3 linked regions of the Oryctolagus cuniculus genome follow. Each later gene encodes a partner of the first gene's protein in a complex. Links are inferred from orthologs where the notes say so. Each region holds a gene or a part of one and is shown in the gene's direction. Other genes may lie near its edges.

Evidence for each region.
Region 2: the proteins of CMKLR1 (region 1) and RARRES2 are in contact, whole or in part, in a cryo-EM structure (PDB 8ZJG), measured with the Homo sapiens proteins. The link is inferred for Oryctolagus cuniculus from reciprocal best matches to the Homo sapiens genes CMKLR1 and RARRES2. Residues at the interface, in NP_001135815.1 of Homo sapiens: Asp20, Tyr21, Leu22, Asp23, Ser24, Ile25, Val26, Val27, Leu28, Phe88, Leu92, His95, Tyr103, His104, Asn116, Leu119, Ile120, Met123, Arg178, Leu183, His184, Gly185, Lys186, Ser188, Cys189, Phe190, Asn191, Trp203, Thr205, His217; in NP_002880.1 of Homo sapiens: Leu34, Phe37, His38, Phe60, Thr75, Ser76, Cys77, Arg96, Leu111, Gly112, Arg113, Leu114, Val115, His116, Cys117, Pro118, Ile119, Thr133, Leu136, Arg137, Gln139, Arg140, His146, Ser147, Phe148, Tyr149, Phe150, Pro151, Gly152, Gln153.
Region 3: the proteins of CMKLR1 (region 1) and GNAI1 are in contact, whole or in part, in a cryo-EM structure (PDB 8SG1), measured with the Homo sapiens proteins. The link is inferred for Oryctolagus cuniculus from reciprocal best matches to the Homo sapiens genes CMKLR1 and GNAI1. Residues at the interface, in NP_001135815.1 of Homo sapiens: Asn74, Phe78, Arg137, Ser140, Val141, Pro144, Val145, Ser147, Gln148, Asn149, His150, Arg151, Ser152, Val153, Ile243, Lys246, Leu247, Leu252, Ala253, Lys254, Lys257, Pro258, Ile261, Ile262, Met319, Gln321; in NP_002060.4 of Homo sapiens: Glu28, Ala31, Arg32, Val34, Lys192, Asp193, Leu194, Asp315, Phe336, Thr340, Asp341, Ile343, Ile344, Lys345, Asn347, Leu348, Lys349, Asp350, Cys351, Gly352, Leu353, Phe354.

Annotation. Positions count from the first base shown.
Region 1 is NC_091452.1:17,522,809-17,525,717, reverse strand, and holds the end of CMKLR1 (chemerin-like receptor 1), read left to right. Parts: coding exon 1-180; 3' UTR 181-2,325; downstream 2,326-2,909. UniProt on the Homo sapiens protein: Receptor for the chemoattractant adipokine chemerin/RARRES2 and for the omega-3 fatty acid derived molecule resolvin E1.
Region 2 is NC_091438.1:23,677,290-23,681,488, forward strand, and holds the start of RARRES2 (retinoic acid receptor responder protein 2), read left to right. Parts: upstream 1-1,256; 5' UTR 1,257-1,481; intron 1,482-1,488; exon of another isoform or gene 1,489-1,831; 5' UTR 1,832-1,896; intron 1,897-2,178; 5' UTR 2,179-2,254; intron 2,255-2,631; 5' UTR 2,632-2,655; coding exon 2,656-2,829; intron 2,830-3,052; coding exon 3,053-3,157; intron 3,158-4,017; coding exon 4,018-4,113; intron 4,114-4,199. UniProt on the Homo sapiens protein: Adipocyte-secreted protein (adipokine) that regulates adipogenesis, metabolism and inflammation through activation of the chemokine-like receptor 1 (CMKLR1). Also acts as a ligand for CMKLR2.
Region 3 is NC_091434.1:144,874,722-144,878,366, forward strand, and holds part of GNAI1 (guanine nucleotide-binding protein G(i) subunit alpha-1), read left to right. Parts: intron 1-753; coding exon 754-796; intron 797-883; coding exon 884-1,025; intron 1,026-3,645. UniProt on the Homo sapiens protein: Guanine nucleotide-binding proteins (G proteins) function as transducers downstream of G protein-coupled receptors (GPCRs) in numerous signaling cascades.

The DNA of each region.
Region 1 (2,909 bases):
CTGTACGTTTTCATGGGGCAGGACTTCAAGAAGTTCAAGGTGACCCTCTTCTCCCGCCTGGTCAATGCCCTCAGCGAAGACACCGGCCACTCCTCCTTCCCCAGCCACAGGAGCTTCACCAAGATGTCGTCCGTGAACGAGAGGACATCGATGAACGAGAGGGAGACCAGCATGCTTTGAGCCTCGCCCGGGGGGCGCCCACCTCCCCTCATCCCCCAGGGACAGAAGACCAAGGCAAGAACCTCTTCAGCACCCTGAGTGCCCACTGCATTTTGCCTGGGGGAGGGCGGTGTTTAGAACTGGGGATCCAGGGCTTGGATGGAACAGTGGGAGAGTCTGCCATGACACAGCCTTGGACCCGCAACCGGTGCTTCTTGGGAGACCTGCCTTGACCAACTCAAAGCCAACGGAAGGATGCGTTCTGAAAAAAGGAGCTGTCAGGACTTCGACCGGGGTGGGCAAGAGGCAGGTGGATTTAGCTCCCTACTGTGTGTGCCCCAGAGATGACTCAAACGACCTCCGAGGTCCATTCCTGGTGTGGGCAGGGAGGTCAGAGGAAGCCCAGTGCCAGGCCAATCCCACCTTGCCCACCTCCACGGATGTCAGCCATCGTCAATCATTAGCCAGAAGTCCCGCCCCTCGAGGCCTTCCTCTGGGTGGAAATGCACAGGTTGCCTGGGAGAGGAAGGTGGCACAATTTAACCCTTGAACTCCTGGGACTATGGCTTCCATGTGGGCCCTTTGCAAGTTCCCGGCACGGGGGTCAGTGAGGGCTGCGGGCCTCGGAGAAGGAATGGGACAGGAGGGGCAAAGACCCCTTCGAAGGAGGCAGACGTGGAGCAGCTGGGGCGATGGTGCTTTCAACTGCAGGATTTTAGGGGTGTGGGGGTGCCAGCCCCCAGCCCTAGCCCCTGCTCTCACCCAGCATTTGTTACCTGGCAGTGGGGCCATGGTGGGGGGGTACACCTGCAGCTCCCGCCCTCTTGCTGGGATTCTTCCCTCCTCCTCTAATCCACTCAGCTTGCAGCATCACCCTTCGGGGTGGGGGCAGGAGGGGTGGGACTGGAGACTGGTCCCACGTGCAGCTTCAGGGAGCAACCTCGGCGGCCTCCCAGGCAGAGGAGGAGGTCCCAGGACTCAGCACGGCATTCCGAGCAGAGCCTGCGGCGACTCCGGGAATGGTGGCTCCTGCAATGCAGACCGCAGACACGGCCTGTGTGCACCTGCGTGGCACCACTGTCCTCACCCGGCACCGGCACCTGCCGAGGGTGTCACTGCCGAGGCCCAGCCGGGGCGGGGAGGAAAGTTGCCCAGCATCCCACACAGCTGGTCAGTGGCAGAGACCAGATCCAGCCCTGGCTCTGTCTGGCTACATTCTTCTATGGAGAATTTTCTAGACTGGAGAGTGACAGCACTTTCTATGTTAAGCACTTTACACGTGTTATCTCATTTATTCCTCCCAGCAACCCCCCGTTAGGTACAAGTCTCACTCCCCTTTTACTGACAAGGAACCCGGGGCTCAGAGAGGCTAAGTAACTTACCCAGAAGCGCCCAGCTGGTCTCTGCCAGAGCCCAGATTTGAGTCTCCGTCTGCCAGGCAGCGTCAGGAAGGAAACTGGGGAGACCGGGGCTTAGTCTGAAGCAGATGAACGTGGCCTCTAAGAAGCTTTGTGAATTGTTTCCAGAAGACCTGACATGGGCAGCCCGCAAACAGCTCCACCTCCTGCACCTGCTGAGAGCAGGCTGGGGCAGGGGGCCTGGCGGGAGGCAGCCCCTGTGTGCCCTCGGCCCCGTGGTCTCAACGCGCCCACACCCTGGTCTCTACCCGTGAAGCCACTTCTCCAGCGAGACGCAGGGAGCATCGGTCACGGAGGCCCGGCGCTGGGCTCCTGGACTCACATCTTGTGAAGACACAGCTGTTCCTCTGTCCTTGGCTCTGGATGCACCTGACGAGGTGGCTCTGAAGTGACCCCACACTGAGGCCTCCGGCTGCCTCCCGGGATCTGAACTTGGAATAGCCCCGGGACCCAGCGTCCCCTGTCATCGCCATCCCCAAGTTTCCTGATGCAGCAGCCGAGGCCCGGACAGCGTGGGCTTTGTCCCAGGTCCCAGCGCAGTCCGCAGAGGCGCACGTCCTCCCAGGCCCTGGGGTGGGGCTCTGCCTGGCCAGCCTGAGGGAGCCAGGAATCTTGTTATCAGCAGAAGCGAACGTCAGGCCGGCTGTTTTCCCCCTCGGAGCCAGGCCTGGCTGGTTCTGGCCGCCCCGGGTCTTCCCGGTCTGAGTGTAGCTTCCTGTCCAGTACATAAACGTAACCATGACCTCCACTTTGCTCTCGACCCCACTGCTGCCTGTGCGCGTCTCCACGGGGTGCGCCCCAGAGTTCATTGCAGGGAAGAATTAAAAGGCAGGTTTGTTTGGCTGCAAATCCATTTTGAAAGCCACACATAGTTTTTTCATAATATGCATTTCCATGACTTTTTATTTTTTGAAGCCTTGCATGGATTTCAAACATTTTCCCAGTAAGACAAGCTTATCTTTTTTAAAGCCATTTATTTATTTATTTGAAAGGCAGAGTTACAGAGAGAGAGAGAGAGAGAGTCTTCCATCCACTGGTTCACTCCCCAGTTGGCCTCAATGGCCAGAGCTGCACTGATCTGATGCCAGGAGCCAGGAGCTTCTTCTGGTCTCCCACGTGGGTGCAGGGACCCAAGGACTTGGGCATCTTCCACTGCTTTCCCAGGCCATAGCAGAGAGCTGGACCAGAAGTGGAGCAGCTGGGACTCAAAACAGTGCCCATATGGGATGCCAGCACTGCAGGTGGCAGCTTTACCTGCTACGCCACTGTGTCAGCCTCAAGCTTATCTCTTAATCCCATTTCCCCACAAACCTTTCAAAGCACCCTGGCACA
Region 2 (4,199 bases), on another chromosome or scaffold:
CACAAAGGAATCCTAGATGGAGTTCCTGGCTCCTGGCTTTGTCCTGGCCCAGCCCTGGCTTTTGCAGCCATCTGGGGAGTTAACCAGCAGATGGAAGATATTTCTCTCTCTCTCTCTCTACCTCTTTCTGTAACTTTGCTTCTCAAATAAATAAATAAATATTTTTTAAAAATATTCCATTTTCAGGAACTTTTTGAAGTATTCTCATTTTTTTTTAAGATTGATTTATTTATTTGAAAGGCAGAGTTACAGAGAGAGGGAGAGAGACCATCCATCCACTGGTTCACTTCCCCAAATGGCCACAACTGCCAGAGCTGGACTGATCTGAAACCAGGAGCCAGGGGCTTCTTCTGGGTCTCCCATGTCAGTGCAGGAGCCCAGGGACTTGGGCCATCAGCTGTTCTCCCAGGTGCATTAGCAGAGAGCTGGATCAGAAGTAGAACAGCCAGAACTTGAACCAGCACCCATATGGAATGCAAGCACCACAGGCAGTGACTTTATCCTCTATGTCACAGCACTGGCCCCCTCATACATTTTAAATAAACTAATTTTGATGCTTTCCATGTCACTTCATTCCACTGCGTAGTACACAGTGAAGTCATTTGTTGTCTGAACAGATTCTCCAAGTATCATAAATGCAGTTGTTAAAGCTATTCTGGGTTTAAGTGCAAATGCTATGAATTATTGCCAGTTCAAGGAACTGTTGAAAGAAATAAAAGACAATGAATTATATTTTGTTTGCCAAAGCTCATTGGTTGGGACTGCCACCAGGGGGTGGGCAGGGACGGGACAAGCACGGGTGTGCTCCACACTGGGCATCCTCAGTCACTTTCCACGTTTCCCCATTTAATCATCAATGCAACCCTTTAGGCTAAGGCTTGTGATCTTCATTTTACAGATAAAAGCTCAGATAGATTCAGGAAGTTAAGCAAGAGCCTGTGTTTCCGGTGATTAGCGCGGGGCTGGGAACTCCATAAACGGCGGCTGCTGTGACAGGCAGAGTCCCAGAGCTTCTGCAGGCTTAGTTCCAGCAGCTGGGCTCACACGTGGACAGTCTTCTCCGAGTCTCCCCCAGCATGCCATTCCACCATCCCTGAAGGCTCCCAACACCCCAAAGGAGGCCCCCGAGGCTACTGTCGCCAAGGATGGGACATGAGCAGTGGGCCAGGGAAGGCGCAGGCAGCATCCAGACTGGGCGTCTCTGCGAGGGACAGAGGCTATCAGACACCAGGGGCAGCCTAGAAGGAAGAACCGTCCTCCTCCGTGCGGTTTAGGGCGCGGGAGGCCAGGGCAAGAACCCCAAGGGCCCCTGAAGTGCTCCTCTGCTTTGAGGGAGTCTGTTTCCGGGAAGGCACTGCAGAAGGACCCAAGGAAACGCAGTCCTACCTGGGCAGGACACGGAAAGACCTGCAGGGAGCAGGGGCCCGGCCCTGAGAGACCGTGCAAGGCTTGGCCCCTAAGCCGGGCGGGTTGGGAACGAGGTGGGCTGGGCTGGGCCGGGCGTGCTCCCTGGGTGGCCTGATTGACCGGGTGCGCCGCCAGGCCCGCGGTCAGGGTCCAGCTGCGCGACCCAGCCCGAAGGGAGCTGGGCGGGCTGGAAAGGGGCCCCGCCCGGGTGGGAGGAGCCGCAGTTGCTGGAGGGGCCAGAAGGTGGGATTGCGGGGCGGAGGGAGGGGCGAGGAGACGGGAGGGCTGACAGCCGAGGCCAAGAGTCCCGCGGGAGGGCGGGGAGAGACCCCGAAGGCTCCGTGAGGGAGGTGAGGACGGGAGGAGAGCGGGCGGCGGAGGAACGGCTCCGGGGTCCGATTACGGTAAAGCCCTTGCTTTGCAGCCACAGCTTTTCACGGAGGCGGCCTCAGCTTCCTCATCTGTGGCTTTCTGGTCCCAAGACCACCGGTACGGGCAGGGCTCTAGGCGATGTCACCCCCTCAGGCAGCCCTAACCGTGAACTAGGGGACAGGATCCGAAGGGGGGGCGAAGAGTACTGGCCGGCCTCAGAACAAGGCAAGGGGGGGCCCGGCCCGGGTGAGCCGCCCGCCTTCTGGACTCAGGGGTGGTGTTGATGGCAAGGGGCAAGGCCAGCGCCAGGAGGGTTAAGCACCCCGCAGTTCCCCGCGCCCTGGGCGCACACTCCTTTCCCAATGTGTTTACGTCCTCCCAAAAATATTCATTCTCCAGCCCTTGCTCTTCCCCTGCTGTCGGCCTCCCGGTGAGGGTAGGAGCCAGGAGATTCGAAACTTGGGAGGGACAAGCGGTGAGCTGCGGGCTGAGGTGGGGGGAGGAAGCAGAGAGGGGCTCTGTGAACAGCAGAGGGCAGGGAATCAGACCCCCAGTGGGGAGGGGGAAAGAAGTGAAGGAGACCGATGGGCAGAAGGACTGCTTCCCAGGCTCTTGGCAGAGAACTTGGCTAAAACTTTGCTGGCCCCAGGGAACAGTGCCGGGAAGGGGCGCGCGGGGGTGGGGGGGTGGAGGGGGGTGTGAATGAAAGGGCCATTCCGGCAAAGAGCCAGTGCCCCGTTCCTCCACCTCTGCCCACAGCTCTGCAGGCATGGCTCCCAGAGGGGTAGGCCAGGGGAGGAAGTGACTCCCTAGCTGGCACCAAGGCTGAGGACGGCACACACTGCTTTGCAGGGCCAGGGAGACGGAGGTGAAGCCATGCGGCGGCTGCTGATCCCGGTGGCCCTGTGGCTGGGCGTGGTGGGTGTAAGCAGTACTGAGCTCACCAGGGCTCAGCAGCGGGGCCTGCAGGTGGCCTTGGAGGAATTCCACAAGCACCCGCCTGTGCAGTGGGCCTTCCAGGAGACTGGTGTGGACAGTGCCGTGGACACGGTTAGGAGCATGGCCCTGGCAGGGAATGGGGAGATCTGACGTTGGGAGACCATAAAGCACCCAGGAAGTGGGCACAGAACTGCTTGGGCTCTGTGAGCCCCCAGCTTGCCACCTCCTCCACTGTACTTTTCACTGTGTGTGTATCTCACATCCAGAGCCGCTCTGCCCACTCTGCTGGCTTCTGGACTTCCTGTCTTGTTCTTGCTTGTCTGTCCGTCCACAGCCCTTCCCAGCTGGAACCTTTGTGAGACTGGAATTTAAGCTTCAGCAGACGAATTGCCGGAAGAAGGACTGGAAGAAACCCGAATGCAAAGTGAAGCCCAATGGGGTGAGTGAAGCTGCGTGTCTCGGACCACATATTGGGTGTGAGTGTGCGGAACCAGGAGATTGAGTGAGGCTACAGGTGGGAGACCCTGCTGTGAGGAGCCTCCCTAAAAACAGAAGGGGCTCATCCTGTGGCTGAGGGTGGACAGGGAGAGAGCTGGGTGACCCTGAGGACTCGTCTTCATCATGGTGAGGTCCACCTCTGAGTGCCTCTCAGGCCTAGGTCACTGGCAGAAGCAGCCCCTGGCATAAGGTTTGATTGACACCCAGGCCAGCAGGTGGAGATGGCCCTGGCCTGGGCAGATTCACAGCCAGCCTCAACTGTCAATAGCCACCTTAGGGCACATCTGCAACTGTGGGAACCCTCCCTGGGCTGGAGTGTAGCTTTCTGGGTTCTGGTTCCCACTCTCTGAGCCACAGGCCCGGGCTTTGTAAGTCCCATGAAGACCTCAGCTCCTTCTGTAGATTTTCTCAAAAGTTCCAGGGTGTTGGTTCCAATGACACCGCACGAGGAAATGCAAACAGGTAGCAGCAGAGTAGTTCTAGTGGAAGTCAGATGGAGAGAGCCCATCTGGGGACAATTCTTGCCTTCACATGCTCGCACGCACACACACACATGTGTGCAAATACACTTGTATGGAACGATTCCTGCCTACACACATTAAAGTTCCATAGTTTGAAAACTGTAGGATTGCTTGCTTTCTGAGATTTCCCAGGCCTCTTGCCCCTCCACACCAGGGCCTGCCAGGGGAGCCGGCCTCCTTTGTGGGCAGCCCCCAGCTTCCATCCTTGGAGTGCTGCCTGTCTCTCTCACTAGTTTCCTCTCCTCATCCCATGCGCCCCCCCCCCCCCCCCCCCCGGCAGAGGAAGCGGAAATGCCTGGCCTGCATCAAACTGGATCCTGAAGATAAAGTGCTGGGCAGGATGGTGCACTGCCCCATCCAGACACAGATCCGAAGGGTGAGAAGAGGGGGCTGAAAAGATGGACAGAGACAGGGCCTGCAGGAGAGGCTGACTGGAGGGAGATAGGGGGAAAACCGGGGCAA
Region 3 (3,645 bases), on another chromosome or scaffold:
CGCAGGGGCCCAAGCACCTGGGCCATCCTCCACTGCCTTTCCAGGCCACAGCAGAGAGCTGGACTGGAAGAGGAGCAATCGAGACTAGAACCCAGCGCCCACATGGGATGCCGGCGCCACAAGCGGAGGATTAACCAAGTGAGCCATGCATGGCACCAGCCCCAGCAACACAGTATTTTTAAAAATATTTATTTATTCAAAAGTCAGAGTCACACAGAGAAAGGTAGAAACGCAAGAGAGAAAGAGAGAATCTTTCATCCGCTGGTTCACTCCCCAGATGGCTACAACGGCCAGTTCTCGGACAGGCTGAAGCCAGTAGCCAGGAGCTTCTTCTAGGTCTCCTACATGGGCGCAGGGATCCAAGCACTTGCTCCATCTTCTGCTGCTTTCCTGGGTCATTAGCAGGAAGCTGGATCTCAAGTGGAGCAGCTGGAACACAAAATGGTGTCCATATGGGATGCCGGCACTGCAGACAGCTGCTTTACCCACTATGCCACAAGGCCAGCCCCATACAGCACAGTATTATTAACTATAGTCCTCATTTTATACATTAGATCTTTAGATTTGCTCATCCGACATTTTTACTGCTTTTATCTCCTTTTAATAGAAAACAATTCAGTTGTAAGAAACAAGAGAGAGAGAGAGAGAGAGAGTGTGTGTGTGTGTGTGTGTGTGTGTGTGTTGGAAGTCAGATACATGTGATAATCCTGAAGTCCGAAATCCCTGATTTGATTTGATTTGGTCTTTTTTTAGGTGCTGGTGAATCCGGGAAAAGCACAATTGTGAAGCAGATGAAGTAAGTAAATTGAAAATATTAAATTTGTTCAAGTGTCATCTCTTGTCAAAGGAAGTCAGTGTCTTGTTTTCCTTGTCCACTGGTTAGAATCATCCATGAAGCCGGCTACTCGGAAGAGGAGTGTAAACAGTACAAAGCCGTGGTCTACAGCAACACCATCCAGTCCATTATCGCTATCATCAGGGCCATGGGGAGGCTGAAGGTAGACTTCGGCGACTCAGCTCGGGCGGTAAGAGATGAGCAGGCCTCATGAGTAACTTGCCTGATTGCACAATACCATGTGACAAAGGCTTGTCTGGACTCATCATGGGAGTCAGGATGGCAGGAATGAGGGAAGTGAGCCAGAGCTCTAGAAGTGAGTGGAAGAATAATATACAGGGCTGTGTGAACTCCCCTTTATAGCTATACTCTCCTCATCCATCCCATGGCATAGACAATTGAACAGTAACTGCAGTTGTATAAACAGTGGGTATCTCTCTCTCTCCATGACTGTTTTTAGTAGTGAATGGGGTAAATGGCTTACACCAGCAATTCTCAACATGTTTTTTTTAATTTGGAATACTGACCTGATCTAATTATTTGTAATCATGCCAGAATAATTTTTTGAAAAAAACAATCTAATTGCAAATGATAGACACAGTGTAAAAGTTTGCTGATCATCAGAGAAGGGACATGCTGACTATTAGAAGCATTTGTCAGAGTTTTAGAGCTGAAGAGGACTGTTGGAGACAAGCTGGTCCCACTTCGTTATTTTACCAGGTAATAAAATGGGAACCAAGGAAATTAGGTGACAGAGAGTGCCATGCTGCTGGTGTGCACCAGGAGCTCGAGCTGGGCGTCCTTGTTTGGCTCGGAGACTTGGTTCCAGTTTCACTGGAAATGGCCCTGGTCCTTGCCTATGACAGTTTGTTTTTCTTCTTTCACCACCCCGCCTGCTTTTGCTTGCTTAATCTATTAGCTTCAAGGCTGTTATCAGTGTATGGTTCATTTTCCCTTGATTTTTTATTAAAATAACTGTCATAAATTTTTTTTAACTTTTATTTAACAAATATAAATTTCCAAAGTACAGCTTATGGATTACATTGACTTTTTTCCCCCATAACTTCCCTCCCACCCGCAGCCCTCCCATCTCCCACTCCCTCTCCCATTCCATTCACATCAAGATTCATTTTCAATTCTCTTTATATACAGAAGATCAGTTTAGTATATACTAAGTAAAGATTTCAACAGTTTTCACCCACACAGAAACACAAAGTGTAAAGTACTGTTTGAGTACTAGTTATAGCATTAATTCACTTTGTAGAACACATTAAGGACAGAGATCCTACATGAGGAGTAAGTGCACAGTGACTCCTGTTGTTGACTTAACAAATTGACACTCTTGTTTATGGTATCAGTAATCACCTTAGGTTCTTGTCCTGAGTTGCCCAGGCTATGGAAGCCTTTTGAGTTTGTCGACTCTGATCTTAGTTAGACAAGGTCATAGTCAAAGTGGAAGTTCTCTCCTCCCTTCAGAGAAAGGTAGCTCCTTCTTTGATGGCCTGTTCTTTCCACTGGGATCTCACTTGCAGAGATCTTTCAATTAGGTTTTCTTTTTCCTCTTTCTTTCTTTCTTTCTTTCTTTCTTTCTTTCTTTCTTTCTTTCTTTCTTTCTTTCTTTCTTTCCTTCCTTCCTTCCTTCCTTCTTTCCTTCTTTCCTTCTTTCCTTCTTTCCTTCTTTCCTTCTTTCCTTCTTTCCTTCTTTCCTTCTTTCCTTCTTTCCTTCTTTCATTGCCAGAGTGTTTTGGCTTTCCACTCCTAAAATACTCTCATGGGCTCTTCAGCCAGATCTGAATGTCATAAAGGATGATTCTGAGGACAGAGTACTGTTTAGGACATCTGCCCTTCTATGAGTCTGCTGTGTATCCCGCTTCCCATGTCGGACCTTTCTCTCCTTTTTAATTCTGTCAGTTAGTATTAGTAGACACTAGTCTTGTTTATGTGATCCCTTTGACTCTTAGTCCTATCATTATGATCAATTGTGAACAGAAATTGATCACTTGGACTAGTGAGATGGCATTGGTACATGCCACCTTGATGGGATTGAATTGGAATCTCCTGGCACATTTCTAACTCTACCATTTGGGGCAAGTCAGATTGAGCATGTCCCAAATTGTACATCTCCTCCCTCTCTTATTCCCACTCTTATATTTAACAGGGATCACTTTTCAGTTAGATTTCAACACCTAAGAATAATTGTGTGTTAATTACAGAGTTCAATCAATACTATTAAGTAGAACAAAAAAAATACTAGGAGGGATAAAGTATTAAGTTGTTCATCAACAGTCAGGACAAGGGCTGCTCAAGTCTCTGTTTCTCATAGTGTCCATTTCCTTTCAACAGGTTTCCTTTTTGGTGCTCAGTTAGTTGTCACTGATAAGGGAGAACATATGATATTTGTCCCTTTGGGACTGGCTTATTTCACTCAGCATGATGTTTTCCAGATTCCTCCATTTTTTTGCAAGTGACCAGATTTCATTTTTTTTTACTGCTGTATAGTATTCTATATAGTACATGTCCCATAATTTCTTTATCCAGCCTACTGTTGATGGGCATTTAGGTTGATTCCAGGTCTTAGCTATTGTGAATTGAGCTGCAATAAACATTAAGGTGCAGACAGCTTTTTTGTTTGCCAATTTAATTTTCTGTGGGTAAATTCCAAGGAGTGGATGGCTGGGTTGTATGGTAGGGTTATATTCAGGTTCCTGAGGAATCTCCAGACTGACTTCCATAGTGGCTTGACCAGTTTGCATTCCCACCAACAGTGGGTTAGTGTTCCTTTTGCCCCACATCCTCTCCAGCATCTGTTG